Linked DNA regions of Ovis aries. The protein of the gene in region 2 purifies or fractionates together with the protein of the main gene of each other region. This does not show direct contact. Links are inferred from orthologs where the notes say so. Each region holds a gene or a part of one and is shown on either strand. Other genes may lie near its edges.

The links.
Region 1: the proteins of FYN (region 2) and PDGFRB purify together in Homo sapiens (pull-down; 3 studies listed by IntAct, with this or other methods). This does not show direct contact. The link is inferred for Ovis aries from reciprocal best matches to the Homo sapiens genes FYN and PDGFRB.
Region 3: the proteins of FYN (region 2) and SKAP1 purify together in Homo sapiens (affinity purification with western blotting; 3 studies listed by BioGRID and IntAct, with this or other methods). This does not show direct contact. The link is inferred for Ovis aries from reciprocal best matches to the Homo sapiens genes FYN and SKAP1.

Annotation. Positions count from the first base shown.
Region 1 is NC_056058.1:59,268,336-59,278,153, reverse strand, and holds the start of PDGFRB (platelet-derived growth factor receptor beta), read left to right. Parts: upstream 1-4,270; 5' UTR 4,271-4,639; intron 4,640-7,489; 5' UTR 7,490-7,569; coding exon 7,570-7,572; intron 7,573-9,818. UniProt on the Homo sapiens protein: Tyrosine-protein kinase that acts as a cell-surface receptor for homodimeric PDGFB and PDGFD and for heterodimers formed by PDGFA and PDGFB, and plays an essential role in the regulation of embryonic development, cell proliferation, survival, differentiation, chemotaxis and migration.
Region 2 is NC_056061.1:25,876,851-25,886,860, reverse strand, and holds the start of FYN (tyrosine-protein kinase Fyn), read right to left. Parts: upstream 6,114-10,010; 5' UTR 5,662-6,113; intron 1-5,661. UniProt on the Homo sapiens protein: Non-receptor tyrosine-protein kinase that plays a role in many biological processes including regulation of cell growth and survival, cell adhesion, integrin-mediated signaling, cytoskeletal remodeling, cell motility, immune response and axon guidance.
Region 3 is NC_056064.1:37,786,618-37,796,746, forward strand, and holds the start of SKAP1 (src kinase-associated phosphoprotein 1), read left to right. Parts: upstream 1-4,056; 5' UTR 4,057-4,151; coding exon 4,152-4,200; intron 4,201-10,129. UniProt on the Homo sapiens protein: Positively regulates T-cell receptor signaling by enhancing the MAP kinase pathway. Required for optimal conjugation between T-cells and antigen-presenting cells by promoting the clustering of integrin ITGAL on the surface of T-cells.

The DNA.
Region 1 (9,818 bases), on a different chromosome or scaffold from region 2:
GTGTTCCGCTAACTTGAACCGCATGAGAGAAACAGCCCGCTAGGCAGAGGTCCCATTCCAGACCTGCTGTGAGCCCTTAAGAGGGTTCTGGCCTTCTACGTGGCCCCTGTGGACCCTGTTGCCTGATGATCTGTGAGCCATCTGTGTACCAGAAGGACACACCCTTGTTTCCAGGGGCCCTAAGACCAAGGCCAACTGGAGGCTGGGGTGAGGCTGAGATGGGCAAGGTCTTGAAGCCCTTATCTCCGGGAACCCTGTCAAGCCTTGGTAGTGACAGCCTGGCCCAGCAAGAGCAGTTCTAGGAATCTAGGGTGGGAGTGTGGCCTGAAGTCCCCACTGGCCCCTCTGCCCCACCAGATAGCCACTATGCTGAGTGTCCAGGAAGGGGAGGGGCAGTGTCCTCTGTGTGCCTCTTTTGGTTCCCTCGCCTTTAGGTACAAGGACCTACCTGTTCAGGGTGTGCAGGAGGGAAAGATAATGCACTGGGAGTCAGGAGTCCTGCCTTCCTGGCCCCTTCTGTCTCTGCTGACCTCGGGCAAGTCCCCTCCACTCTCTGGGGCTCAGTTTCTGTGCCTGTCTGATGGAGGCACTCTTAGGGCTCTTCAAGCCCTGATGTCCAAGATGAGTGTGCCAATGTGTGGGACATGCATGCTGCGTCCTGACCCCAGGCCTGGGGAGCCTGGAGGAGGGGCAGTGCTGGGAGCGTGGGAGAGCCAGATGTGGTGGCTGCTGGCGCTGCCTGAGTGAGTGCTGAACTGGCCTACTGGGAATTCTCCCACTCAGGCGCCCTTTCTGGCCCCCCTCCTTCACCCTACGGAGAGCTGCTTCAGCTTCCGGCTCTAAGGGGCGTGGGTGGGGGCTGAGGAGGGGGGTCACTTCAGCCTGATTCCCTCCTTTAGAGAAGAACATGGTCCTGAGAGTCTAGACCAGAACCTGGGTGCCTGTCCTGGACTCACATCATAGTCACGCTCCATCCCTGGGCCTCAGACATCCTGGGTGTCAAATTGGCGGTTGCACAGGCTTCCCTCCAACCCTGGTGGTGGCAGCTCCCGGTGACACCAGAGAATCAGGCATCTTTTGTGGAGCTTTCTCACTCTGTCCTAGTCCTTGAACAAAATGCCTTTGGTGCATCACTTACTCAGGCCTCTCAACAACCCCATTTTACAGCTCAAAACACTGAAGCTCTTTGAGCTCAGTTCATGTAATTTGTCCACAGTCACACAGCTAGGAAGTGGCAGAGTTGGATTGGAACTACCCATATCAGAGCCTTGGTTCTTAATCCTTGAGCATGACACTGTGCAGTGGGAAGGGGACGCACCAAACCCCAAGGCCTGCAGCTCCTCTTTCCCCTGCACCCTCTACCTCAGGCGGGGCTCCCCGCACCCCTGCTCTGCCCTCTCAGCCTCACCCTAGCCTCTGCCAAGACAGGATGGTCAGAGGACGGACCCTAGCATCTGGACAGGTGGGAGACGGCTTGTGGCTCGTCCTGTCCACAGTGGGGCTGGGGGCCATGCTGACCACCCCAGTGTGACGGCACTGCTCTGCCCACTGCTCACCCCTTCAGAGTACATAGGGGAAACTGAGGCCCAGGAAGTAGAGGGCTCAGCCGAGGGGTACATAGTGGTGGGCTGCAGCTGGAATGAGGGAAAAACACTATTTCAAGAACAATTCAGACAGTGTACTAAGCCCTTGAGGCACATTATAAATGATAACAGTCTTTTGAGTCATTCCTTGAATTATCTCTAATTTTTCAGAGGAGGAAACTGAGGCTCAGGAGTTTAAATGACTTTCCCAAGATCCTGTAGCTTCAAACTGCTAAAGCTGGGATTTGAAGCAAGCTCTGTCCATCTCTGAAACCTGCCCTGTCAATCATGACCCTTCTTCCTCAGCTGTCCAGCCCTCGGTGAGTGCCCTGTGGGGTTCCATGTGATTCTGCATCCCCCAACCCCATCTCAGCTGTGAGGAGGCGTAACAGCCCTGGTGCCTGCCAAGGGTTAATGGTGGTAGGGGCTAAGTGATTCCAGATGGGCTGGCCGGAAACCGGCGGCCGCCAGCTTCCCAGGGGAGCCACCAGCAGCCGCCCCCTCCCCTCTGTGCTGCATCTCTGGCCCCCAGCTGTCCCCTTGCCCTGGGGCCCACCCGCCTCCTCTCCCTAGCTAGAGTCCAGATCTAAGAGACTTGTAGACAGAGCATCCCAAGGGCCCTCCAGCGCAGTGTGCCCATGCTTGCTATGAACAGATGGGGAAACCGAGGCTCAGAGTGGACGAGGTATCTATCCAAGGCCACACAAGACGTGCATAGTTGGGTCTCAGGACTCCCAGACTGTCTGGTTTGGGTATTGGGATTTGAAATGCCTCCTTGTTCTCCCCCACCAGCCCCACTGACCTGGTCCTAGCAGCTGGACCAAGGCTTCAGAGGTGAATGGCCAAGGCAGACGCTAGGAGGGGAGTTGTAAAGACTGATGAAATCTAGACAGGAAGGCCTGACTCTGTGGTCTTTGGAGTCCCCGGACTTGCCCTATGACCCCCTTGCCACTGAGCTGCACCAAGCCCCCTCCGTTGGGAGACTCTCATAGCTCCCACCCCATCATGTGGACCTAGTCTGAAAAACCCTTCTCCCTCTGTGGTCTAACCCAATGTTCTCCTGGGCAGTCCCTACTGGGACAAGACCAAGAAATGAGCACAAGATTGGTGACCGTGGTTGGCGTGAAATCCCAACCTCCTTCCCCCATGAACAGACACATGGGGTGAGGTGCTGGAGGAAAAGGTTGTAGACAGAGGGCAGGATGGAAGGAGCTCTGGGCAGACTCCGTAGGGCTCCACCTGGGACACCTCTCTTTCCCTCTCTGGGACTCGGTTTCCCCCGTGTTACAGTAGTAGGAGTAGGGCGACACAACCCGATTCTCGTTAAAAATGATGCCCTTGGTCAGGAATCTGTGATTAGAGACTTGTTCTGATCTGAGGAAATGAGGGTTGAAGAAATGAAAGGATGGGACTTCCCTGGAAGTCCAATGGTTAAGACTCTATGCTTCTACTGCAGAGCAGCGGGTTCAGTCCCTGGTCGGGAAATTTCTGCATGCTATGGGATGCATGCAAGGGAAAAAAAAAAAAAAAAGGAGAGGGTGAGAGGTCCAGGGGCTTCCAGAGAAGCCTTGGCAGACCTTGGGGCAGAGGTTGGAAATGGAACACAACAGTACTGGAAGGTAAATGAGAGTTGGGTTAGGGATAACAAGGAAGAGGGTAGGACCGGAGGGCCAGTCAACACTGCAGTGTGGGTCTTCCACTGGGGTCAGAGCACCTGAATCTGTCTGGTGTGTACAGATCTGACCCTGCCCTAGCTCTGCTGTAGCTGTGTGAGCTTGTGAAGCTCATCTGACTCCTCTGGGCTTCAGCTCCTTGTCTACACAATAAGGAAATAATTCTTTCCTGGTCCTCTGGGGATTTTGAGATGATAGAGGAAGATGTCTGGAAATCTGAAGTTTGCTGGGTGATCTTGGGCATGTCTCTTTCCCTTTCTGTGCTAATTCACCCCTGGACCTTGATTTCTTCTTATGAGAGATTGATAACCTCAGAAGGGCTTTTTCTCTCTTCTAAGTCACCTTTTCTCAGAAGCCCTTCCTGATTCCTTCAAGCCTCAGGGAGTGCCCCCCTCTTCGGGCACTGTATCTCCCACTAGCTGGGTACCCTGAGGTTGGAGACTGTAATTTACCACTGCAACCCCAACACCTGGCACAGTGTCTGGCACATAGTAGGTGCTCAGCAAGCTTGTTTAATGAATGAGTGTCGACTGAGTCACCGGGTGGGTTATCAGAGCTCCATCTGCAGATGGGAAAGCTGAGGCCCAGAGAGGGGACCCACCCCCAGGTGCCACAGCCAGGGGAGGCTACCCGAGACAGGCATCAGGCTAGTGGGCCAGGCCACTCTTTAATAAAAGTGACTCAGCGGCTGGCTGGCGTGGGCTGTGGAATTTCTAAACATCCCCTCACATCCTGAGTGAGCAGGCTACGGGAGGGAGCAAGCAGAGGGAAACGAGGAAGAAAAACAAGAAACTTGGGGGAAAAGAAAGAGGGAGGGGGAAACTAAAATTGAAAACAGACACACGCGCGTCCGCCCTCCCCGCCCCCAGCCCCCCTTCCCCCAGCTGGGCCAATCAGAGGCTGCTCTGCAGCCTTTCCCCCAAAGCAGAGGGGGTGGGGGCAGGGAAGCCCACAGTGGGGTGAGCTCCTGGGGCCGCCAGCAGCCCGCAGTCCCTGCCCGCCCTGTCTGGAGCCAGAAGGAAGGAGGGACTGGGAGGAGAGAGCCGGGCCCCTCTGACCAGCGCCACCAGGCAGCAGCCTGCGCTGAGCGACCCGGGCAGCCAGACCCAGGGCGGCCCCTCCTGGCAGCCCTTCTCCTCCACAAGGATGCTTTGGGAGTGAGGCCACTCCTCACCCCGTAGTCCTTCACTCCCTCCATTCTCCTGAGGCTCTGCAAGCCTACAACGCTCCTCACTGTCCTCCCGCTCTGCCACTGCCCCACTTCAGGTTCAGCAGAGTCCTTCTGATGACAAGGGAGAGGAGGCAGTGAGGAGGTCTTCCTGGAGGGGGTGACAGCCCAGAGCCCAGGACTTTGCCCACACTTCAGAAGGCATCAGCAGCAAGGTAAGCGCTGGGAAGAGGAGGGAACTCCAGCGTCTTGTCCTGTCCCCTTGTCCCAGACTGCGCCTTCTTGGGTAGGTCAAAAAATGGAAAATATTTTTAACAAAACCAGATGGGAAGAGGCAACGAGACTGTGGGTGACATCTGGGCTGGAGGAACCAGCTCTCTCCTGCTCAGGCTGCTTTTGGGGTGGGTGCCCCTTGCCCTCATCAAACAAATCCCAGGGGTTTCTGGCAGTGAGGGGGGAGGGGGGCTTCCAAAGCAAAGCGCTGCCTGTAGGGGGCCGCGAGGAGAGCTGGAAGGAGTATGAGAGGGGAATTGGGAGATGGATCCGGAGATGTATCCATGTATCCGGCCGGATACATAGAAAGAGAGCCTAGCAGGGGACTAGGGACCTCAGACACACAGCGTCTGTCCCTGGGCCCAAGCCTTGTCCCTAAGAATCTGCCTGGCTTTACGCCAGTCGGCCGCCAGGCAACCTCTCGGGATTTAAATGGATTTGCAAATTTTCCGGATTCCTAAGATGTCCTTCCAAACCCCCAGCGGCTGGGAAAGTGCGAAGGCGAGGGGGCAGAGGCAGGCCCATCCTCACACAGGCTGGGCTGGGGGTCTGGGATTCAGCAGTCAGATCTGGGGGCCCTGCTGTGAAGAAGAGGGTTGGCTGTTGGGCCCTGTCCTCTGGTCACAGGCAGCTTCTCAGGCCTTCTCATCTTCCTCTTTCTCCGCACCATCCTAAAACATGCATCTGATCACCGTTCCTTCCGTCAGTCTCCCCAGTAGAAGGTACCTATGGAAAGCCCAAACTCCTAACAGCGGCTGCCACTCATCAACACATTGCATGATGCTAGGACCATTTGGCAGAGAAGGCAATGGCACCCCACTCCAGCACTCTTGTCTGGAAAATCCCATGGACGGAGAAGCCTGGAAGGCTGCAGTCCATGGGGTTGCTGAGGTCGGACACGACTGAGCGACTTCACTTTCACTTTTCACTTTCATGCATTGGAGAAGGAAATGGCAACCCATTCCAGTGTTCTTGCCTGGAGAATCCCAGGGACGGGGGAGCCTGGTGGGCTGCCGTCTATGGGGTCGCAGAGTCGGACGCGACTGAAGTGACTTAGCAGCAGCAGCAGCAGCAGGACCATTCGGAGTGTTTTCTATGCTTGATTTCATGTGCGTTCACCATCAAATCCAAAGGAAAGGACTGATTTTATACCATATTTATGGGTGAGGAAACAGAGGGTCAAGACAGCCACACAGCTGGTAGGTGGCAGAGCTCAGGAGATAGTAAGTTCCCTGCCCATCACATCAGACTTGGGCTTTGTGTTCCTGCCAGTCAGAGCCCAGTCTTCACAGAGGAATTTTCATGCTCCTGCCGGTAGGCATGGCCTTCCTCCCTACCTTGCCTTTTCCTTTAAGGACCCTCCTATTCTACCTCCTCCAGGCAACCTTCCTTGGTTCCTCCGGTCTTCCAAGAGCTTGCCATGCCCATCATCCTGGGGCCTTGTTGCTTGATCCTCTTTTTGTGTTCTGTTTACATAACAGAGATTGTTTGGGTCCCAGGCTTCTCCATCCTGTGTTCTGACCCCAGGTCCCCTGGGAAGACAGTGGGACTGAGCAAATGTGGTTGTGAAGGGGAGGAGGGACCTACTGAAGACCTGTGTTCCCAAGGGTGAGCCCAGAACCCAGGCCTCTTATCTTCCTTCCTTTCTTCCTTATCACCCTCTGGGTGCCTTTCCAGAACCTTACATGGTCCTCCCGACATTTTTCTATGTCAAGGGGGGAGTGTTCCTGCCTCTGTGATCCCAAAGTACACAGAAGCCTCTAGTGAGGTCTTCTGAAGTCAGGTATCTTCCCTTGCCTCCAAGCAGCAGGGCCTTGAATCCACAGCACTTGGGAACATGCAGACTATGTTGGTCACCATCCTGGAGTGCTAACTCTGTGCTGGAACCTCTCAGGCCTTATAATCCCTGTTGTAGGCCTTTAGAATCAGTATTATGATTACCCCTGTTTTGAAGACAAGGAAAACAAAGCTCAGAGAAGCTAAGTGACTTTCCCAGGGTCACACAGTTGGTAGAGTTGGTATGTAGGCTGAGGTCTGCCTGAAACCAAAGACTTAACCTCCTTGCTCCCAGGGAGGCTCTGGTCAGGGGAGAGAGTCTCCATTTTCCCACAGAGCCTGCTCCTGGGTCTAGCATCTTCTCCAGCAGAAAGTTTAGCTCCTGGGTCCACCCGGCCCTGACTTGGTCCTGAGTGAGGAGGGAGACCATCTGGTGAGCCCTCTCCCTTCAGTGGTGATCAGGCTGCCCTCCCTCCTCTGTGGGAAGAAGAGCTGAGACTTCTAATTGCCCACAGATGTGGGGCAGTGGAAAGCACCGTGGATTCAGAGTCAGGAGACCCAGCGCTTGTCCTGGCTCCACTCAAATCCTCTGTGTGGCCAACCTCAGGCCCCCACGTCCTCTTTTTTGCTGCGTCTGCATCTGGAAGGCAGTGGGCATGGTGGGTAAACAACACCAGTTTCCGGCATCTGATGACGCCCCCTTGGCTCTAGCTAACAGTGTGACCCTGGGCCAATGCTCTGCCTCTCCGGGCAACAGGCCCCTCCTCTATGAGCAGTAGGGTGGGACAGAGGATCTACAAGATAATAACATAGATAAGGCACTTAGCATGGTTCCTGCATTTTGTGCGGCTGGACCTAACGCCTAAGAGAGCAAAGAGAGCTCCTCTGCTCTCCCCGCCTCCTGTACAGGACGACATGGTTGTGACGTTGGTCTGCACATCGTGAAGGGCTGTAGCCATGGAAGGGAAGGGACCTGGGCGCCATGGCTGTGCTGAAGGCTCACTTTCATCCTCCAGGCGCACCCTGGCTCCGAGACCAGCTGCCTTCTGGGCTGAAGGAGAGAATTCTGGACGTTTTGCTCATGTTGGGCTACTGAATGGTGAGAGGGAGAAAGAAATGAGAGGGCCCCAGGTGCTGCTGAAACACCCCCATGCCCTATTTCTGGCAGATGGTTCAGAAGCCACAGCCAGTGGACCCTTGGAAGGGGGAGATCTTCCCCCCTATTTTCCACATCTCCTCCGCCCCCACCTGCCCATTGGCCATGTCTTCCCAGCATCAGAGCTTGAAACACCTCAACTGGGAAGCCATGTGTGAGAGAGGACAGAACTGGGAGCAGCCTTCTCTAAGCACTTTCACTGTGCTTTTTACATCCATTACCATCACGGTCATGGTTATATTCCTCAGCACTTAGAACAGGCCCGGCCTTCAGTGACTGCTTAATAAATATTTGCGGAACTAATTTAATCATCGCAAACTACCTCAAGGAGTGGACATAAACTCTCCATTTTATAGAAAAAGAAATGCCCAGAGAGGTTAAGAGGTTAAGTCAGTTGCTCTAAGTCCCACAGCTAGGATATGATGGAGTTGGGACTTAAACCTGGTGTTTTTGACTCCAGAGTCCATGACTGAGAGACTGGGTGGGGCCTGGGCTTCAGCTGTGGGGGCCCCTCAGAGCTCTAAAGGTGGTCATCAGACCCTGGAACCCATCCTGTATGACTGTGGGTGAGTCAGTCCCTCTCTGGGCCTCAGTTTTCCCATCAGTAAAATAAGGATTTTTGAACGAGATGATCTCTGAGTTCCTTCCAGCCGTAAAACAATTCCAGGATTCCAAGCCGCGCCAGCCCAGATTGGCAGCCACACAAGCCCTGTTGTGTACTCAGGGATCATACATATTTAACTTCACAATGAAAGGGTTTTTTCTTACCCCTTTTCTGCACGTTATAGAAAGCGGTCAGGATCGATGACCACTAATGGAAAATGGTGCCCTATGATCAAGAGGAAGAACTTTCTGACAATCAGAGCCACCTGGAAATGCACTCTGTTTCTTGGGGGGGCTCTGAGTGTGTGTTTCCCCAGCAGCCACAGGCCCATTTTTCTTGGATACTGAGGAGGGAGGGTCAGGAGGACTGCCTGTGAAGGGGTGTGTGTGGATGCTGTGACCCTTTGCTGATTTTTGAACTTCATGTGCTCTGATTTCAAAGCAAGGCTTTGGCCTATGGTAGATGGACAAATGGTGGGGTCCAGAGGCAAGGGAATGGATGCAGAGACCCACCTCTAATGGGAGGAGTGTGGAATTCACACACTGTTGCTCCCAGTGTAGAAGCCAAATCTAAGCCCCTCCCAAGACTTCAGGCCCAGAACCCTCAGGCCAAAGAGCTTCCTGAACCCCCAGGCCATGGCCCCAGGACCCCTCTTCCTAACCCCAGCCAAGTGCAGGAGGTTGAAAATCAAAGTGCATCATTTTAGCTGCGTTAGCACCCTCTCTTCTCCTCACTTCAGATCAGAGCTCTTTAATGTCTCAAGTGCACAAAACCTTTCATCTGCCAGAGGTACCAGCTTCTCTGCCCTGTGATGGAAATGGTTGTCACTTGGGAGGTGGGGGCAGCAGGGCCAGGGGGTCAGACAGTTCCTGAAGGTCAGAGATGAAAAGGACTATGGGGATCACTGTGCTCAACTTCCTTATTGTATGCAGGGGACACTGAGGTCCAGAGAAGAGGAGACTGTGCCTCAGCCATAGCACTGAGCCCAGGACCCAGCCTGCTGGCCTGGACTTTCCTCTGTGCCAGGGCACGTGTTGGATCTTCTCCACCTGTCTCTGTGGCCCAGGGCTCAGGCTCCAGCTCCCACTAGGTTGAGGTCACAGGGCAGAGTTTGGGCTAGAATGGAGCAACACCACCCCAGTGAGGGATGCGAGCCCCTCTGGGTAGTGCTGTGGACCATGGAGCCTTTGATTATATCACTTCTCCATCCTGGCCATAATTTCCTTTTGTGTAAAACGAGGGGGCAAGGGCACAGTTCAGTGACCCCAAAGGTCGTATCCAGCCCCATCCTTAGCCCCTGAGAGCTCCTGCCAGGCTCTGTGTGGCTGTGTCACATTTCACTGCTGTCCTGGCTGCCTTCTGTCTTGGAAGGGGAGCCGTAAGGGCTGTGACACCTCCTTTTCCTCCTCTTTTAGCTTCTGTACTCCTGAAGCTGAGCCTAAGTGGTGGATAGTGGGAGGAGGTTCCAGCATCAGCCCCAGAGGGAAGGGCTCAGGTTTACAAACCTGTCACGGAAGCCCAGGCTTCTCCTAGCCCAGGGCTTTGGGCATGAAGGTAAAAGCTCAGGGGTGACTCAGTGGACTGT
Region 2 (10,010 bases):
AAAGCAGCATCTCTACTTACAACTCTTAAAACAGCATTTCTGGACAAAGCACTTTTAAGAACGTTCTCAACTTTCCCACCAGTCTCATCTTCTCCCTCTACCACCCCCACCCACTCTAAATTACTTGCAGTTACCTAAAAAGTCAGGCTTCCCTGATAGCTCAGTTGGTAAAGAATCTGCCTGCAATGCAGGAGACCCCAGTTTGATTCCTGGGTTGGGAAGACCTCCTGGAGAAGGGACAGGCTACCCACTCCAGTATTCCTGGGCTTACCTGGTGGCTCAGCTGGTAAAGAATCCGCCTGCAATGTGGGGGACCTGGGTTCGATTCCTGGGTTGGGAAGATCCCCTGGAGAAGGGAAAGGCTACCCACTACAGTATTCTGGCCTGGAGAATTCCTTGGGATTGCAAAGAGTCGGGCATGACTGACTTTCACTTTCTCTTTCCTAAAGTCTGTGCATCTGCATCCTCGGCTTCTCCTTCTAGGCCAATGGGCTTCATACAACACTCAAATGGCCAGTTCCTCCTCTGGCTTTCTCTGCCTGGCCACCCCAATTTCCCACCTCCCTGTGGAGTTCATGCTGCCTTGTAGACCCAGAATCATGGCAGTTATCACTGTGGTCAGAGCCTTCCTCAAGCAGTTCCTTAGCCAGGATTACAACTCTTTGTTCCTGAGGCATCTAGTTCAATGTCTGGCAAATGGTAGATACAATGAATGAATGTTGCTTGATGAATAAATATGTAGGACGATTCACAAACTCTTATAGACCTATCTGTGGGCCACAGAAGGATCCATCCTAAAATAGAGAGTCACACTGAGTAAAAGTAGTTCCAGAATCAACATGCTTTGCTTTCCCATTTTTAGATTTTTAAAAAAAATTTTTAATTTTTTTTAAATTTTTTAAATTTCCTAGGTTAGCACCAGGGTCTAAAATGGAAAGAATGGCAATAGGAATTGACATTTTATTTTTTATTTAAACATAAAGTTATGTTTCCCAACAACCAAAAGAATCCATTTCCAAAGTATTTATGCCACCCTCCCTTATGGCATATAACACATTTTAATCAATATCATCATTATGTCCATACGTATTATCTTGCATATTGCCTCGTGGCTAAGAGCAAAGGCTCTGAGACCAAACTAACTGGACCTGAATCCTGACTCTACTGCTTACCAGCTGTGTATGATCTTGAGTCAGTTATTTAACCTCCTTTGTTTCACTTTCCGTATGTAAAATGGAGATTATAAGCAAAACTACTTCATATAAAAACAACCTTGAAGTATAGTTAGGCTTCCAGGTGGCTCAGTGATAAAGAATCTGCCTGCCAATGCAGGAGACACAGGTTCACTCCCTAGTTTGGGAAGATCCCCTGGAGGAGGAAATAGCAACCTGCTTCAGTATTCTTGCCTGGAAAATCTCATGGACAGAGGAGCCTGGCAGGCTACAGTCCAGGGGGTTGCAAGACAGTTGGACATGACTTAGCGACTAAACAACAGCAGCAATAGTTGATTTACAATATTATATTAGTTTCAGCTGTTCTTACCATTCTTAAGATTAGAGCTTAAACAGTGGTTGGCATATAGTAAATGCTCAATAAAACTAGCTATTATGTATTATTTTTATCTCCTCTAGCAGACTAAGCTCCCAAACAGCAAGGACAGCAGAAGTATTCATTTTCACAATCCTATCTTCCAGTGCCTTGCACACAATAAGATATTGGGCTAACGTTTACAGAACTGATGAACATAATGAACTTTTTATAGCATACACACAGGGCGAAAAAAACCACAAAAACTGGAGAAGGAAATGGCAACCCACTCCCGTATTCTTGCTTGGGAAATTCCATGGAGAGAGGAGCCTGGCGGGCTGGTCTGTGGGGTCCCAAAGAGTCGGGCATGATTTAGTGACATACCACAACATAGCAAAAGTATGTGCATTACTAAGTCTGATGACTAGTACGGACAGAATTGCTCCTGGGGAGGCCGGTGGAGAACAGGGGCTATCCAAAACACTAGTGATTCACCTGGCTCTGGGAACTCACTTAATCCCACGGAACATGCAGGGCTCACAGTCACCCACCCACTCAAGACATCTGCAGGCTGGAGGGGACCCTGTCAGGACTGAAGAGCTGGGCAGGTGAGGCTCTCTTCCCACGAACATGGCCTGGGGCAAAAAATCTCTCCTCTAGAGTCTCTTTCATTTCCTCTTCCAATTAGAGAAGGTAGGACTGTGATTTCTAAAGACTCTCCTGGCCATTCGGGAAGTCTATAAAATAAGCAGATAACAATCCAGGCCAACAAAGGTAGTACTGGAGAGCCACATCAAAGTCAGTACCACAGCCATCAGATCACTGTATTACAGGGAATAACTGGGTGGGAAGTGGCTACTAGAATCAACAAAAAACCAAGGTTTTTGGAAACATGTTTAAAATGTGAAGGTCTGAACTTATAAAATCAAAAGTCTGGCAATAGCAAAAGAATGAAGGCAATAATGGGTAAAGGCTCTAGGTTTCCATTTAATTCTCATCAACCTACAAAGTCCTTGAAGGCAACGACTATGCCTTGTTGAGCAGCACCACATAGCAAGGTTGGGTGTGTGTGCGCTCTGACTTTTTGCGACCCATGGACTATAGCCCACCAGGCTTCTCTGTTCAAGGAATTTTCCTGGCAAGTGGGTTGCCATTTCCTTCTCCAGGGGATCTTCCCTCCAGGGTCTGAACCCAGGTTCAATCTCTTGTGTCTTCTGCAATGGCAGGCAGATTCTTTTCCACTCGTACCACCTGAGTTGTGGCATATAGCCAAGTTGCTGGCCCCAAACACATATCTTCTTGACTTTTTTTCTAGTCATATGATGACTATTTCCCAGGATCCCTTGCAGTTTAATGTGGCCATTTAACTATCCCTCAAGTAAAGGATGTAAGCAGAAGTGATGTGTGTCATTTCCAGGCCAGGGTAATTAAAAAGTGGGTTCATCCCCTCTACTCTCTCTTTGTGCTTCTGCCAGCTGAAAGCAAATTACAATGGAGCGCCAAGGCATGGTGGAATTTGGAGCCCAGAATCACTGCATGGAGGAAAGTCACCCACTGATCAGAAATACCCATTTTGAACTATTACATGAGGAATAATAAACATCTATTACTTTTGAGTCATTATATTTTTGCAGGCCTATTTGTTATAGCTGCTAATATTAGCCTAATTAAGCCAGGTGCTTAGCACATACCAAAGACCTAACACATTTGTTGAAACAAGACCAGGTTCCTTCTTTCAATGTGTTGATCAACTAATGATGGAAACAGACACGTGCCAACCATAATGCCAGCTGCTGAAGTGTGAAAGCAAAATTGGAGGCATGGTGATTTGCTTGAAGGGGAAAGGAGGAGAAAGCATCCCAGAGTAGAAGACTTTTGAGCTGGGCCTTAGGTTTAACAGAACCCAAGCAAATCAGATGGGGTTAGGAGATTTCAGACCCAGGAGAAAGCAGAGAATAAAAGTACAGAAAGCAGAATATGCATTTGTTCACATTCAACCTCACCACTCTCTTGAACTCGGTCAACAGAGGGTGAGCTTATTGTGCACTTTCTTTCCTGGGTTTGGCCAAACAAACAAGGCTTTGTTTTTTTGTTTTGAACACTACCCTCATTAACCCTTTTGCTTTTTTTAAAATATAAAATGTTCCAAGATGAATGTCCTTAGAAAGTGCAGGAGTAAATGTTTAATGAACCATAACAATTCTTCTCTAATAAAATTCTTGAAGAACTTGAGACAGTTCTATTACTTATAACAGTCAAAGAGCCATGCTCTTAGGAATCAATGGGTTCGACCTAAGTTTTGACATTATTGATTAAGCATGTAACAGTCACTGGCTTACAGAATGGAACATTAAGCCCCCAGATTTACATTTACATTTCCTTTTTAAGAGGAACATCAAGCAGATGGTTTAAGAGATCAGGCAAAAGATTCTCTACCTTCTTCGCTCATAGCTAAGTGCCTCCAACACCTGAGACAATTAACAAAACCACTTCCTCCAAAAATCAGTCCCTTGTCTGAAAGCACAGGACCCGAGGGGCAGAGGGGCAGGGACTTGGGAGAAAGAGCACAAAGGGTGGAAAGTACGGCAGTGGCTTGGCGGTGAGAGGAAGGAAGTGGCTGTCTGAAGGGTACCCTGAAGCAGGCAAGAGAGACACAGTCCCCAGTAGTCTTCCAAATACCGACTTACTGCTGTGTTAGCAATGTCCCCAGGAGCTTCTTTAAATACAAGGGTGAAACAACCATCACTGGGTGGACAAGACTTCATTTCAAATGACTTCAGTCCTCCTTAGACTTGAGAGAAGCAAGTTAGGCTGCCTCACTCCTAGCAAACATCAATATAACTCTCTTTTGGAAACAAAATTCTCCCTCTCCCACACCCATGTATCCTACCCCCTACCATGAAAGGGAGTTAAAACTGGGCAAGGGAGGGTGCTACCCTGAGAGTAAAGCAACTCTTCAGACAGCTGAAATCAATTCCCCCTTCAATCTAAGAAGTACTGCAGCCGCCAGTCAACACTACCGGTCCATGAATACAGCAAAACGGCAGCACCTGCCACCCTGCATCTGGGGCCTTTTATTTTTTGGTAAATGTGGCAGGAAAGACTCTCAGAGAGAAGATCAACTGCTTTATCTGAGCAAAAGGGAAGCCCCAGGGAAGAGAAACAAGAAGCATCGCGCCCACCCTTGGGCACTTTATGCGTCTCCTCTCTGTGCACTGAAAGGGCTCTTTGTGTCACACACACACATACACACACACACCCCGCGAGTCTGTGTGATTTATTGGTGGGAGGAGGGGCGAGAAGGGTGATTTTATTATCCCTCTTCTCACTCAGTCCCAGCAAATCTCCGCCGAGGCCCAAGCCTGGTGGCCTCTTTCTGGCTCAGTCCCCTCCGCCTGTGGCCGCAGAGATAAGAGAGGGGAGGCGACCAAACAAAAACAGTCATCGATCTAGGGAAGTAGAGAGGAAATCCAGAGAGCTGAGAAGGAAGGAGAAAGGAGCCTGAGGGAGCAGGAGGGTTGGAGGGGTCAGAGGAAGAGGAGCTAAGGCTCCAGCACGGGGGACTGGGGAAGGGTGGGTGGTGGCACAGGAAGAGTCGAGGGGAGGATGGGGGAAGTGCAAGGGAGGTGCCAGAAATAAGCTGGAGGATGCGATGGGAAAGGCGACGGCCACAGGAGGAGGAGGCCGAGAGGTGGAGGAGTGGGGCAGGGGTGGAGTGGGGTGGGGAGGGAAGCAGCACGGGGCATCAATTATTAAGTGATTACATCATCCCTGACATTAAAACAACACACACAGCCCGGGTCCCCGCGGGGGGCCCCGAAAAGAGGGCGGAGGCGGAGTCTGGGCCGGCCTAGCCACCCCCCAAGCCAATCCCTATTCACACCCTGAGGAAATGGACCCCCCAGCCCTGCGCTACCTCGGGGCTGCAGCCCGCAGAGGTGTCCTCCGGAGCGACCACAGCAAGACTCCAAGCAAGGCCAACTCCCTGGCAGCCCCGCGGGGAGCCCCAGAGGCAACGATGGCCAAGAGACTGCAGCGCCGGGCCCCGCGGCGGGGGCGGCGCTGCGCTCGGCGCCCGCGGCCCGCATCTCCGCAGCATCCCCGCGGCCCCGCGGCGCATCCCCGGCCGCTTACCTGCGCTGCGCTCAGGCTCCGGAGCCCATTCACATGGTCCACTCCCCGCCTCCTCCGGCGCGGCCGAAGCGGCTCCGGTGGTTGCTCGGCGGGCCCGGGAGCCGGTGGGCCTTCTGAGAGTGCCCAGGGGGCGGCGCCGGGTGTCCCCGGCCCGGCGACTGGATCCCTCCCAGGCGCGGGCGGCGGCTTTGTGTGCGCCTGGGGAGCCCTCGGTGCGCGGGGTGAAGCGCCGCGCGCCCGGGCGGTGATGGACGCGCGGCTCCGAGGGCAGCCTCTCTTCTGCTCCCTCGGCCGGTTGGCGGGCGGGTCTCGGCGGCCTTCGGCTCGCGGCGACCCCTCCTCCTCTCCCGCGGCAGCCCCCTCCCCGCCGGCTCCGCTCCTGACAGATGGCGCAACTGCAACGACGCGCCGCCGCTGCCGCGGCTGCTCCGAGCTACTCGCGCTGATGCTCCAGCCCCTCCAGCCCCAGCGGGGAGTGAGGGAGGGCGGGAGGCCCCGCGAGAGTGGCAGGCTCCACTGTCCAATCAACGAGCCCCTCGGGAGCAGCGGGCGGCGACCATTGGTGGTTGAAGCGGGGGCGGGGCGGCGATGGGTGGGGCCACCGAGTGGGCAGAGCGTTCCGGTGGCATTGGGCATCCTGGCGTGCTTGTGGTGTAAGGGTGTGAGAGGGGATACTAGATTGGAGGAGTTGTGCGTGTGTGTTTTTTAAGGTTTACGTGGACTTGAGGTAGTGGGTTAGGGTAAGGAAAGAAGAGGAGAGTGTGAGCTTCAGTTTCTGCTTTGGAGAAGGTTGCAGCCGCTACTGCAGAAAGGCATCTGCCATTCCCTCAAAACCATGGGAACCTGCCTTGAGAAAGGGCTATCTTTCCTTTCTGTTGTCTTTTAATTTGAAGGTGGGAGGATAAATTGGGAAACTGTTAGGATGATTAAATTGTTTTCTCTGATCAAACCGAAGAGTGCGGAGCAAGGGAGAATCCCATCACAGAAACCTGGAAAAAAGAGAAACCTGGAAACGCGCGGTTAATATTATCAGTAATTATAAGGAGGGGGAGGAAGAAAAGGAAGGGGATAAAACGGAATAAATTAGAATGAACTGATAGTCTTCTGATATATGTATATATATATAAGCAAAGTCTGCAGGAAGTATTAGGGAAATACGAGTAAGGGGTGGAGAGGGCAAGCGACTACTATGGAATCTGCAATCACAGAGTGGGTGTTTGTTTGTATAGCTTTTTCCAAAAGCATGTTCAATTGTAGCCATTGGTTGTCTTTGTTTTCTCATGAATTCAGCCTTCCCGTGGTTTTTTTCCTTCTCTAAATCTGAGCTTTTGCTCAGATTTTCCTTGATGAAATAATAGCTGGTTTAATATACAACTGGGAGTGCATCAGTCTTTATTTCCTATCCAGCATTTCTATGGCAGGATGTAACTTCATTAAAAAAAAAGCAAACACTTCAGCTTCCTGATTTTCTTTATAGGTAATTCCTGTTTACTGAAAGTTCTACTCTAAGGCATGCTCAGATTCATTCTTCTTAATGATTTTGGCAAGAATCCTACCCTACCCCCTCAGCAAAATATAGCGCTCTGAGAAATATAAGTGAATTGGCATCTGCTTCTATGTTCAAAATCTATAATATTACCTTTCCTGCCCACTAAGTTTTGACTGTAGTTTTCAAATACCAGTCACTTTTTCTGCCTTTTTTTGGATACATAGTACTTAAAAAAAAATTAAACTAAGAGGTATTTATATGGAAACTTCCCCCTGAGAAATCTGTGCAATATTGGGTGGGGAGGGGGTTGTTTGTTTTTAATCTATTTTTATTGGAGTATAGTTAATTTACAATGTCTTAGTTTCTGCTGTACAGCAAAGTGAATCAGTTATACATATACATATATCTACTGTTTTAGATTCTATTCCCATATAGGTCATTACAGAGTACTGAGCAGAGTTCCCTATGCTATACAGTAGGTACACAATACTTTTTAAAGTTGCTAACATTTGTTAAACAAATCCCCATTTTACAAATGAGGAAACTGAGGACAAGAGAAATTAAAAACTAAATTTAAAGTGATTGTATAGTGTGATTACTGGGTTTCTTTCTTCCTTAAAATACTGAATGAAATCATATTTAAATTATGTGTTGATTATTTATTTCATAATCCCAAGAAATGGAACCCCAACTAGGACTAGAAATTTCCATACAAGAGAACGCAAACTTCATCTAGCCAAGAATTGTTTATCTCAAGAGAAGAGGCTCTTCTTTCTCAGTACTAGCCTGCCATGGCTCTCCTAGTTTTCTATGGATTGGAATGGAGAGGCAATTGTCTAGAGCAATGATGCTGAAGCTGAAGCGCCAATGTTTTGGCCACCTGATACAGAGTCGACTTATTGGAAAAGACTCTGATGCTGGGAAAGATTGAAGGCAGAAGGAGCAGGAGTGGCAGAGAGTGAGATGGTTAGATAGCATCGCCAACTCTATGGACATGAATTTGAACAAACTCTGGGAGATAGTGGAGGACAGAGGAGACTGGTGTGCTGCAGTCCATGGGGTCGCAGAGTCAGACACAACTTAGCAACTGAACAACAGCAACAAATGATTCTAAACCTTAGCATGCATCAAAATTACCAGAAGGGATTTGTTAAAATACTGATTGGTGACCTCCACCCCCAGAGGGTCTGATTCGGTAGACTTGGAATGGAGCCCAAGAATTTGCATTTCTAACAGTTCCCAGCTGATGCTGACGCTCCTGGTCTGGGTACCAGGCCTTGAAAACCACTGATCTAGAATCAGGCTGTCCAATGTGGTAACCAAAAGCCACACCTGGCTCTTACACACTTGAAATGTACTTGAGTTTTTGATATGTGACTAGTGCAAATTTAAATGTCCTGTGAAAGAAAAGACTCATTGGATTTTAAAGATTTAGCATAAAAAATATAAAACATCTAAATGATTTTTATATTATTCACATGTGAAGATGATAATAGTCTGAATATATTGTGCTAAATATACTATTAAAGTTAATTTCACTTATTTCTTTTAACTTTTTAATGTGTCTACTAGAGAATTTTAAATAGCGTATGTGGCTCACATTACATTTCTACTGGACAGCACTAGACTAGATTATTTCTGATTCCAGCTCCACACTGCACACTGTTGACAGCACCTTGATGGGACAAATCACTTGCCTTTTCTGGCCCTTAGTGTTCTTATATGTAAAATGGAGACAGAGGAAGACTGATCTGAAGCACGCTACTTGTTTGAAGACTAAATGGACATGAAAGGGTACCGTCTTCCTTTTTGAAGATAATGTCATGTACTCTCAGAAAAACCGCTCTTGAGATAGAGCCCTCCTTGGAATTCCATGTGAGGTTCAATTTATCTTACATGAAATCTGGAGTAGGTGGAGTGAGGCATCTCATTGTTTATGGTTTCTTCAAGAGGAGTCGCTTTTTTAGCGTCTGTAACTCTAATAGCTCCTTGATCTAATTAGGGAACAAAATGAAGAGACAATGCAATTAAGATGACAGATTAACCTGCTCCCATCAAGACTTCATCCTGTTTTTGTAATTCTTTCCTTGCCTACCTTTCTATCTGTTGCCCTTCTTAAATGTGGGTTTAAATGGATTTGGCCTCCTAGGAGGATTAGCTAATGGTCTGAACAAGTGTATAGAGTACTGGGAAAGATTTGGATGCTATTCCCCATTTTGATCTACTGTGCAGGTCTCAACACACACCTTGATTAAAGATCCATGGCCCTGCCCCTAGCCTTCCTGAGATAAGCCATCTTGTCCTCTAAGCCCCCATTCTGTTTTCTTACTGACAGCTTAATATATACAAACTAGAATGTAGACATTGTTCTAGAAATTCTCTTTGATTTGACGGGTACTGGTTATTTTTCTCTTTCTATTTCTTTCAATTTTCCTCTTCCTATCTGGGCTTTGTTTTGTCTCAACTGAATTTCTTATTCTCTTGTTTTTAAAGTAACATTTTCCTTCTCTTAAATTTTATTTAATTGAAATATTTTCTTGCTTGATAATTACATTTCAGTTTTAATCTCTTAAATGTTAACTCAACAGCCACATATACAGCAAGGGTAAGAATCCTTAATATAGAATGCTGACACATCCATAGGAAGCAAAAATGAATAATTCGATTGAAAACACATGAAAAGTAAGTGCATCCACAAGGTGAAAGTGAAAGTGTCTCAGTCCTGTCCAACTCTTTGCAACCCCATGGACTATACAGTCCATGGAATTCTCTAGGCCAGAATACTGGGAGTGGATAGCCTTTCTCTTCTCCAGGGGATCTTCCCACCCCAGGGATCGAACCCAGGTCTCCCGAATTGCAG
Region 3 (10,129 bases), on a different chromosome or scaffold from region 2:
AAAAAAAAACTGATTGAGAAATACAGAGAAACAGAATAAAGGGAGAGATAGAAATATAAAGGACAAAGAGAGAAATGTTACCATTCAGATGGAGGGGGACCAACTATGATGGTTTCACAGAGCTGCTCAGTAATCCCTGGACTATAATTATCCATCTCAGGTGTTCAGTTGTACAGGAGCTTTGGACCAGCACTAGAGAACCAGGATTTTAGTATCAGCACAGCCTCTGGTGAGCGGGGTGGCCCTGGGCAGAGCACTAGGTCAGTTCCTCATCTTAAATTTGAATCACCTTGAAAATTCTTGAGTTTTAATAGTCTCTCATTCTGTTCTGAGCCTGGGCCTCACTGAGAACCTGTTTTGGAAATGTTCCCTGATACGATATGAGAACCTGTTTATTTTGTTGTATTAGTGCAAAGAATCTGGAAGTGTGAGCGGGGAGACCATCGAAGTGCATCATGTGCATAGCAGGACGCTCCTAAATCGAAAGGTTAGCTAATTGGTAAAAATAAGGCTTCTGGCAAGCTGTGAAAACCCTGTATCTTAAGGCCACCAAGCAAAGTGCCCAAGCAAGCATCTGTGTCCAGCTCCTCTGCCTCAAGGGTGCCGTGAGGCTTGGTTTCCAGGGTCTTGCCAAGCATGCCGTGAGCCTGGTTCTTGGCACCAGCTGGATGCATCATCTCTCTTTCCACGGTCCTTAATGAAGTGTGTAGCTCTTGTCCTCATTAGGCCCCAGCATCGTCAATAAAAGAGTCAATAAACCCGGTTGATGGGGTTGGGACCGAGGGGCTGAGATGCAGCGGCCGCACATTCACAGGGCAGACGTCAGCTCGGCCGCATGTCGTGACCCAGCATCCAGGGATCAATAACCAACTCGGAATAAAGCCCAAGAGCTGCCCTCTGCAGTCTCCTCTCCCTACCCATTTCACCTGGGGCTGAGCAGTGCCAGTCAGCTCTTGCTTTGCTTGCAGTTGTTTCCGCCCCATGCCATTCTAGGTGCCAGATGCTTTTGTTTCTTCCTGACTGAACCCTCCGAACACCCCATGGATGCATATTTAGTGAGTGCCCACCTGGCACGAGAACATGTAGATGGCATCTCCAAGCAGCCGAGAGGCCAGCATGGGCCCTGTTTTCCATGTCTTCTGTCTGCTAACAGTGAGAGAGGGGCCCCTGTGGACCAGGTGGTAGACTTTCTGCGTGTTGTGCTATGGAGTCCATTTCAGCTGCTCTGCATCTCTTCAGATACCCTTATCTTATCTAATTACAAGGAATTTCAGATGAATTTCATGGCCTTTGCTCCAAAGAACCTCTTATCTGTGAGGGCCTTGTATTTTAACCTTGTCATTCTTTTGTTGTTAGCCATTACAGGAGAGATAGCTAAGAAAGGGATGCTAGGATCTTGCTGGAATTGGGTTTGGGGGAGGGGAAGAAGAGGGAGGCAGACAGACCTGGGACTTGTGTATTCTGCTCCATCCCCCTGCCTGTGTGTGGAGACAGCTGGCTGCTTACTTCCATGACAGCCACATGGTACCCAGCCACACAAACAGGACCCGGGCAGCGACTCGTCTGCTGCCAACCTCTCCAGATCCCTTTGATATTTCCGACAGAGCAGTAAAAGACTCTTGACTATCACATTTTGCCTTGCCTCTCTCCACCTCCTCGAAGACTCCTCAGTGTGGTTTCCATGGCTACCCCCAATCAGATTTGGCTTCCTGCAAAATTGGATTTCAAAGAAGGACAAGGCTTCAAAGGAATTTGTCCATTTAACAGAATGTCATTAGGAGTGAGGCTGACTGTTGAACCAGGGTCCTCAGATGATTAAGGAGGGGCTGCGTTCATGTGTGGAGGCGGGTTTCTGTCTGCAATGAGGAACCTTGATGCAACATGACAATGGTGTATTGGAATCTGCCACTCACTGCACGCTACCCAACTGTGCACCTCCCTCTACTCCATCTCTCTGCACCCAGAATGGATGTAGAATATCTTTGCCTTGAGTTTCTGCTGCTTCCCTTGGTATAAGTAAGCTATGACAGGCAGTGAGTCCTGATAGGATGTGCAATTACTAGGGTTTATTGCTTTTTATCAAACAACCCTTTAACTTGTAGCCTATTTCAGCATTTGACAAATACCCTTGAAGAAGGGAGGGAGGTTGTCAAATTTCCTCCCACTGTTGAGAGGAAAGCAAGGCAAAGTGCTGGGGTTACATATAGGAGGGACTGTGCTGTTTTTTTAATCTTTTAGATTTAAGAAAAATTGCAACTGTAGTACACAGAGCTCCGTTGCCTTTTAACACATAAGTACTCAAAAATGATTCCAGAGCAGCTACAATTTTATAGAAGGAGCAGTGAGTGTGGGAAAAATGCCCCAGTGGGGAACTGGTCTTACTCTGGAGCCTGAAGGAGGCAGCCTGCCCATGTTAACTTTCCCAGGGCAAAGATGCCTTGTAACAGGGGCCAGATTCCCCAGAGATTCTAGCCAGCCTCTGTCCCCTATACTTTCACCCCAATTACTGGAACTGGTAGGTGAGTCATGTGACCCTGAAACCAAGGCATCGTTCCTCTTCAGGTTGCAGTACTTAGATGTATAGATGGCTCAAAGACACTGGACCCCTTAAAGGATCAAGCCCCCAAACTTGAAACTGTATCTCTGGAGGGGAAGCTATGCCTGGAGGCAGGAACTGCTTCCAAGAGTCCTCTGAACAGTTTCTCCTTGCCCCCATCTCCACATCCACGGTTCTGTCATTATTTCCCCTGAGGTTACTGTAAAAGGCACTTCACCCATCTTCTCTGTTTCCTTTCTCTTACTACTCCCAATCCTTTCCACATATTCTAGTGTACATAGAATCTGATAATAGAAACTATTTTTTACAAAGAAGGAAACTGATAGAGGTGAAGTGAGATGTGCAGGGGCTCAGGTTAGCTCACTCCCCATCTCAAAATTTGTCTGTGGCTCCCAATGTCCACTCAAATGAGTTCAGAATCCTTACCCTTTCAAGTTCCCTCACAGTAGAACTTTACTTTTTCTTGACAACTATTTCCCTACACCAGCCAGAAACTGCCCTGAAGCAGGAGAAGTCTTTTCCATCTTTGTTTACTCTGGTCCTTCCACCTGCGCCCTTGCCCCTTCAAAGTGTGGTGTCTTCAGAGCCATCTCAAATGCCACATGCACCATTACACCGCACACACATTTTCCCTCCTTTTCTTATATTCATCTCCCTCCTTGTATCACCCCATGGCACTTTATACTTTTTTCATGACACTTGCCCTATACTTAAAACAACAACAACAACAACAACTTAAGATAACTGTGGATTCACAGAAGTTGTGATGAATAATCCAGAGTGGTCCTGTTTCCCCAGGTAAAATTGTGCAATATCACAGGATATCACAGCTAGGACACCTGACACCTACATACTCTGAATGAGAAGGAAGCCCACTTCTGTTATCTTGTCCTTCACTTTCCTCCCTTTTAAACTCTTACAGGGAAAGGGCTGGATGCTCCTCTCCTTTAGCTTTCTCTCTGGGTTACCGCTTCTTTTTCCTCTCATCCTTTTAGCCTTAGGGAAGGAAGGGATACTTTGCCTCCGTGTTTCCATTGCAGAGGGTCTGCTTTGAGTCTCCCTGAAGTTGGTGACTTGAGATTATTTATTGGGACTTATGATCATTCCCTCGAACAGTCCTGGTTTGCCTGACCCACGGTTCTGCCCTGGTTTTCCGGGCTTGGACTCGCGAACTGAGTCGGGAATGACTGCGGCCCGGCTTGGCGGGGACTGACCCTGTCCTCGGATTCCACCTCCTCGCGCCTCATCTCGGCCCCACGGTGGCTTCTCCACCTGCCGGCGAGGCCCGCGGTCCCGAGCTTAGAATGGGGAGCGCCCGGAGGCGAGGTGCCTGGAGTCGCGTCGCGTCTTTGTTCTGACAGGGAATGGGGGCCGCGGGGCGGGCACCTCCTCCCTGGGGCGCGGGCGTAGGGGCGCGGGCCCCGCGCACAGGTGTCGCCGCCGCCCAGGCGCCCCGCCCGCCGCGCGCCGCTTCCTGAGCGCGCCCCGCCCTGCGGCTCGGCCCCGCGGCGCCGGCGACTGAGGGCCAGGTGCCGCCGCAGCCGCCCGCCCGCCCGCCAGTCCGCCCGCCCGGCCCTCTCCCGCCGCCCGCCACATGCAGGCCGCCGCCGCCCTCCCCGAGGAGATCCGTTGGCTCCTGGAAGGTAACGCCCCGCTGGCCCGGGCGCCGCCGAGCCCGCCGGGAGTCGCACGTGCCGAGCCGGCAGCAGCCGAGACGCCAGCGGCTCCCAAGGCCGGCCTTCCCCGTCGGCTCCCTCCCGCCTTCTAGAACCTCGAGGCTGCTGCCGGAGTCCTGACTCTGCAGAGCCAGCTGTTCACCCCTCGCTCAGGGGTCCCGTTCACTCCTAGTAACACATTTTCTTTTCCCTCAAGGCGTCTCCACCTCCCACTTAGCCTCCCGGCTTCTCAGCAAGTTCTGGCCGGGTTCAAGGTCCCCGGGCCGCCGCGGCTGGCCTTCAGCCTGTCCCTTTCTCTTCAGGACGCCCTGCGTCTGTGGGTTACGCGCTGGCCCCTCTCCAGCCCTGACTGTGTCCCTTCACAGGGAACCCTGACCTTCGTGCTTAGAGCTCCCCACGGTCTCACGGGGCTGTTAGGGCTCAGGGGCTCCTGTCGGCCAAGGCCTGGACACCCAGACCTCAGGCCCCCTTCACCCGCCCACAGACTCCCTCTTGCCCCGGGTCGGATCCCAGTGTTACATCTCTTCCCTTTCTAGAAGTGCCCCATTGCGGTGTGTTCACCCTCAAACCGTAGAGCCCATCAGTCCTTGTAAGAGTTAAGGCCATACTCACTAACACTCAACACATCCCGCTGTAACACTCCAGAGACACTTTTTGCTAATGGGCAAGATCTGCTTGCCTCCCACTTTTCCTGGTGAAAAAGTATTAATAATTTGCTTTTCCTGTAACCGACCTTCCTGGAAGGATGGGGACCTGGAATCTGTGTTTGCATAAGGGTCCCAGGAGGAAACCGCTCAGAATTAAGCCTTTTGGTATAGAGGTGACATTTTTGACACATACTTAACAGATGGCCTGTTTTCGGCAGGTCATAGTTTTGGCAAGCAGTATGTTTTTTTCTCTTCAGTTTCTCTCAATTTAATTGGTTTTATATCTCCATTACCATGTTATCTTGGTATAAATGCCTCCTAATCAAATATTTGGCAAGTCTTTTCAGTCTGTTTGTAGCGCTGTTTCCATTCTGGGTTGCTTCCATAAAAGCTGTCAACTACGTGTTTCTTATGAAATGAAGTTTCCAAAATTTATTTTGCTTGCAACCTGAGTGAATCTAAATTTTCAGAATAGAGAAGTATTTGTGGGGTAAAAGAGCATCATCTGGATGTCTAGAAGGAACCCAGCCTTTCCGTCTGCTGTTGGCTCAGTAATTCCAAATATAAAGAGAGTCTGTACTGTGTCTGGTTTCCAGGAGAGAAGGAACCGTGGCAAAAAGTTTCATTCTGCTTGCAGTTAAAGATATAAACAGATTCTTTTTATTGATATCTGTCATTTGTTGAGAGGAAACCTGTTTTACAAACTAGTTAAACTATACTTAGATTTTGTTTACAGCCTTGATAGAAAATTCCTTTTTATTTTCAGAGGCTTACAATGACATCCACTCCTTCAGCATTTTTGATGTGCAGTTCTTTATTGTTCAAAACTGACACTTTGGTAAACAACTCATTTCTGCACCTGCCACCTTCCTTTAGTTTAGATTATTTTCTTGTTAGCTGACTGTTTTTAATTGAAGTCTTCAGATCTCCTCCTAAAGCAGAACCTTTGTTTGCTGACAAGTAGAGCAGAGTATGAATGGAGATTAATTGCATGTCACATACTTCTGTATCAAACTTGCTGTGTCTTAACAATCTGTGTTGGTGCTCGGGTCTTTGGAATATATAGAACAATCCAAGATTAAATTCTAAGAAGCTATGTTGGTTAATGTATTACTTTAAGGCTCCCCCTTTTTTTTTTAAAGTATGTAATTAGAGTCTGAATCTGAAGTAGAGAAAAAAAATGTGAAAGTGGAATTCAACCAATAATTCTATTGAAAAATGTTTGAAGAATATACTTTTGAAAGGTTTGTGTAATCATAGCAACATATTGGTTGTAGGTTTTGTTTTTTATGGAACACATTCTCTGTTGTAGACCAACAGAATTATTCACTGGACTACAAATAGTTTGTAAATATTAGAAGCCCATAATGGCTATCAATTTTTCATCTGTTGCTGTTTGTCTTCCCCCACCCACCCCCACACACACTTTTTAAGGTTAACTGCTGACAATTAGAAAATATGTAGGTCCTGATCTCTATATTGTCACTCAGTGGAGGGAGTCATAGGGTGAGAGTGCTGCTACTTCAATGCTGCCACAGGCTGTGGGGGTGGAGTTTCCACAATGAATTACTACTTTCATAAACCAAGCCATAAGCATTTGCACCGTGATTTAATGCTGGCCATCACAGCCATAACTTTAGCATTTATTTATTTATAACTACAAGAGCATAAATGACAGGGGCGTTTTTTGACATAATGTGTGTGCTTTGAAAAATAAGATATGCAAAGCATTATGAAAGGTTTATGCCAGATTTTGCATATTGAAGAAGGGAACAGAAACGCTGAAGGTCTAAAATTAATTTTAAGGATAAAATTTTAAACATTTGACCAAGAAACTCCACTCCTAGGAATCTATGTTAATGAAAGTAAAGAACATGAAGTATATATTTTTGTTTGTTTGTTTTAGTCGCTAAGTTGTGTTCAACTCTATGGACTGTATAGCTCATCAGACTCCAGAATACTGGAGTGGGTTGCCATTTCCTTCTCCCGGGGATCTTCCTGACTCAGGGATCAAACCTGCTTCTCCTGCATTGGCAGGTGGATTCTGAGTCACCTGGGAAGCCTGAAGTATATATATCAGGATGCATAGTAAGTGGCCATGAGTTGGGAGAAGTCAGGCGATGATATCTTGTGGAATCATCCATCTTATGGAATATTTTGTAACCGTTAAAAAGGGTGAGGTGGATCTTTATATATTGTCTTAGGAAGTGTTGACAACATATTTTTGAGACTAAAAAGCAATATAAATAGTATAAATAACATACCAGTATAAATAACATACCATTTTTGTTTGAAAACAACCCCACCAAAAAAAATACCCCATAATATTTGTGTAAGCCTAAGAAAGAGTAAGAAAGAATATACACCAAGCTCCCAAATTGGTTCTCTAGGGAGGGGAAAGAGAAGGTTGGGGAGAGAGAGGTTATTTTATTTCATACATCTTCATGTTGTTTGAACCGTGACAATGACCATGTATTACTTTTGTAATCAGGATAAAACAACCAGTAAGGCTATTTAAAAGGAAAAGGAACAAAGGACAAATAGAAGCTTGGAGAGGTCAGAGTTCCAAAGGACCATTAACCAGTATTGTGATTATGCTTTTTTGTTTTTAGTACTAGAGATATGCGGAAGGTGGGGATCCCCCCCATTTTTTTTTTTTTTTTTTAGTGCTTTCTTGGATTTTGGGCAAATATTAAATCAGTGAGAGATTTCTAGAGTAACTCAGGAACCATCTTCCTCAGATTCTGTCAGGCTCTCATATAGAAATAGTAACTAGTCCATTTCAGCAATTAAGTGCCTTATAGATAAGTAAAGTGAAGGACATTTACTGCCTTATTGAAAGAGGAAGAAATATTCAGGTCTATTTTCAAATAATCAGGCTTCAGGAGTAGAAGTTATCATTTTGTTTTTGTGCTATGATAACCACACTGGAAACAGAAACAATGGCGTGCTGACAGTTTGCATAGTCTTTGTTTCACAGATACAAACATAATCAGTTTCTTCCTTGTCTTTCTAGTATCTCTTTTGAAGTCAGCAGCACAAGAGGCAGCTGTAAAGGAAATAGAATAAATATTTCTTTAGTTCATAATTTGTTCTGTGTGATGGAATGGTGCTTACTGAGTTTAATAGGTAATAAGTATCTACAAGGTACCTAAATCCTGCTCAAACATGGATTAGAGCCAAAATAACATCCACAATTCAGCTGCATTTAGTAGCAATTGTTGCATTAATGCTGATTCTGACATGCCTATAGTTACTTGTTTTAAACTTCCTTGGAAAGAAGTCATTAATCATTTCATTCCAGGTTGTTCTCCAGTTTTGTACTGGTTGATGTAGCCAACCATAAAATCTTTTTCAATATGGTAAAATTCCAACTCTGTGGAACTCGCAGGAGTGAGTTGTGCTGGATAGCTGAAGATGTTCTCTTTAAGCATTATTTTTATTATAAACAGTTGTGATCAAATTTTTTCTCGGATTCTATAGAAACTTCTCACACTTCCTCAACCAGTCTGCATTCAAGACAACTTCTCTGAACACTTTAAGTCTGAATTGTTACAGTGTATATCAATTATCATACTGTATAGAGATATATTAAGTTATTTAGAGATTTTTTTGCCATAATTGCCACTGGACTGCTTTGTGAATGTGTCTGTTTTATATTTTAATTTTTTGTCATTGTTTCCTACAGTTAGACCAGGCCTATCACTTTGTACTGTTCTCAGTGTATCAGTATCCCCGATGCTCTAGAAACAGTAGATAATTAAGTTCATTGGAATTAAGATATGTGTAAAAGAAAATATAAAGGTCTCTCTTGATGAACATGGTACCCAAACTTTAGGTCTGCACGTTGCGACTTACACATTGGCTGCTCATAGTCTTTTTTGCTTAATTTTTTAATACTGGGTTGTCTTCTGGATAAATGGCGGTATTGTTTGGCTAAATTCTGAAATGTATGTGACCCTACTTCCATTTCTTTCTTTTTTTCTAACTAATTTTTTTTTTTTTGGCTGTGTGAGCCCTTCATTTGTGATGCTCAGGCTCTCTAGCTGTGGGGCACAGGCTTGGTTGTCCTGCTGCACATGGGATGCTAGTTCCCCAGCCACGGATTGAACCCACATCCCCTGTGTTGGAAGGCAGATTCTTAACCCCTGGACCACCAGAGAAGTCCCTTATTTCTTTTTCATGCTAAATTTTTTGGTTATAAAGGTAGTATTGCTCATGTAGAAGATTTAGAAAACAGTCACCCATAGTCAACAACTATTAAATTTCCATGCATATTTTTCAGTTTTTATTATTTGTACAGACTTTAAAAGTTGGGACATATTGTGTGTATAGTTTTGTATACTGATTTTTCCACTTACTGTTTTTCACTTGCTATGGTCACCTGAGTATCTTCTTAGATCACTCATGTTCTTTTTTTTTCCTTGTGAGTGATTTTAAAGTTATACATCCTGGTTTTATTCCACTGATAGTTTGACTCTTATAGCTTAAAAAAAAAAAAACAAAATAAACCATGTCCCTTTGATTAGCAATGTTAAGAATGAAACAGTATCTTCTACTCTCTCCTCCAATGTGAAATGTGAAATGGCTTATATAATCTGAGATTTTAGATTCAGAATTATTAATGTTTTTATTGTGTATATTAGGTTATAAGAATTATTTTGATATTTGCATAATATTTAAAACCATAGCTATAATGATTTTTTGGATAGTTTATATTTAATGAAATACAATGATACTTTTGCTTAACTTGTTCATTGCATACTTTTTGTACCATGACTTTTTCATTCTTGAGCTCTTTATCTCTTAGATATTTAGACTTTGCTAGAAGGGTAACCATGGCCATATGTAGCTATGTAAATTATCTGAAATTAAATAAAACCAAAGGAAATCCGTTCCTCAGTTATGTTAGCTACGTTTCAGCTACTCAGTAGCCACAGTGGCTGCTGTATCGGGTAGTGCAGAAAGCCCTAGTAGATGACGATTGAGACTGTGATGCCGAGTGGATTTTTCAGGAAGGGGACTTTGATAGTACACTTACTGAGTGCCTCTGAGTTTGAGTATGTGTCTGTCTAGTTTCATATAAACTTAGCTGTGGGGATAAGGTTCTAGGATCAATTCCTTTCCCTTCCTCTCAACTTAACCTCTCAAAGTTTTACCTGTATCTCCTGGTCTTCAGTTTTGTGGAGGAGAAGTCTGATGCCAAACTGATGTATTTATTTTATAACCCATCCCTCCCACTGCCTGCC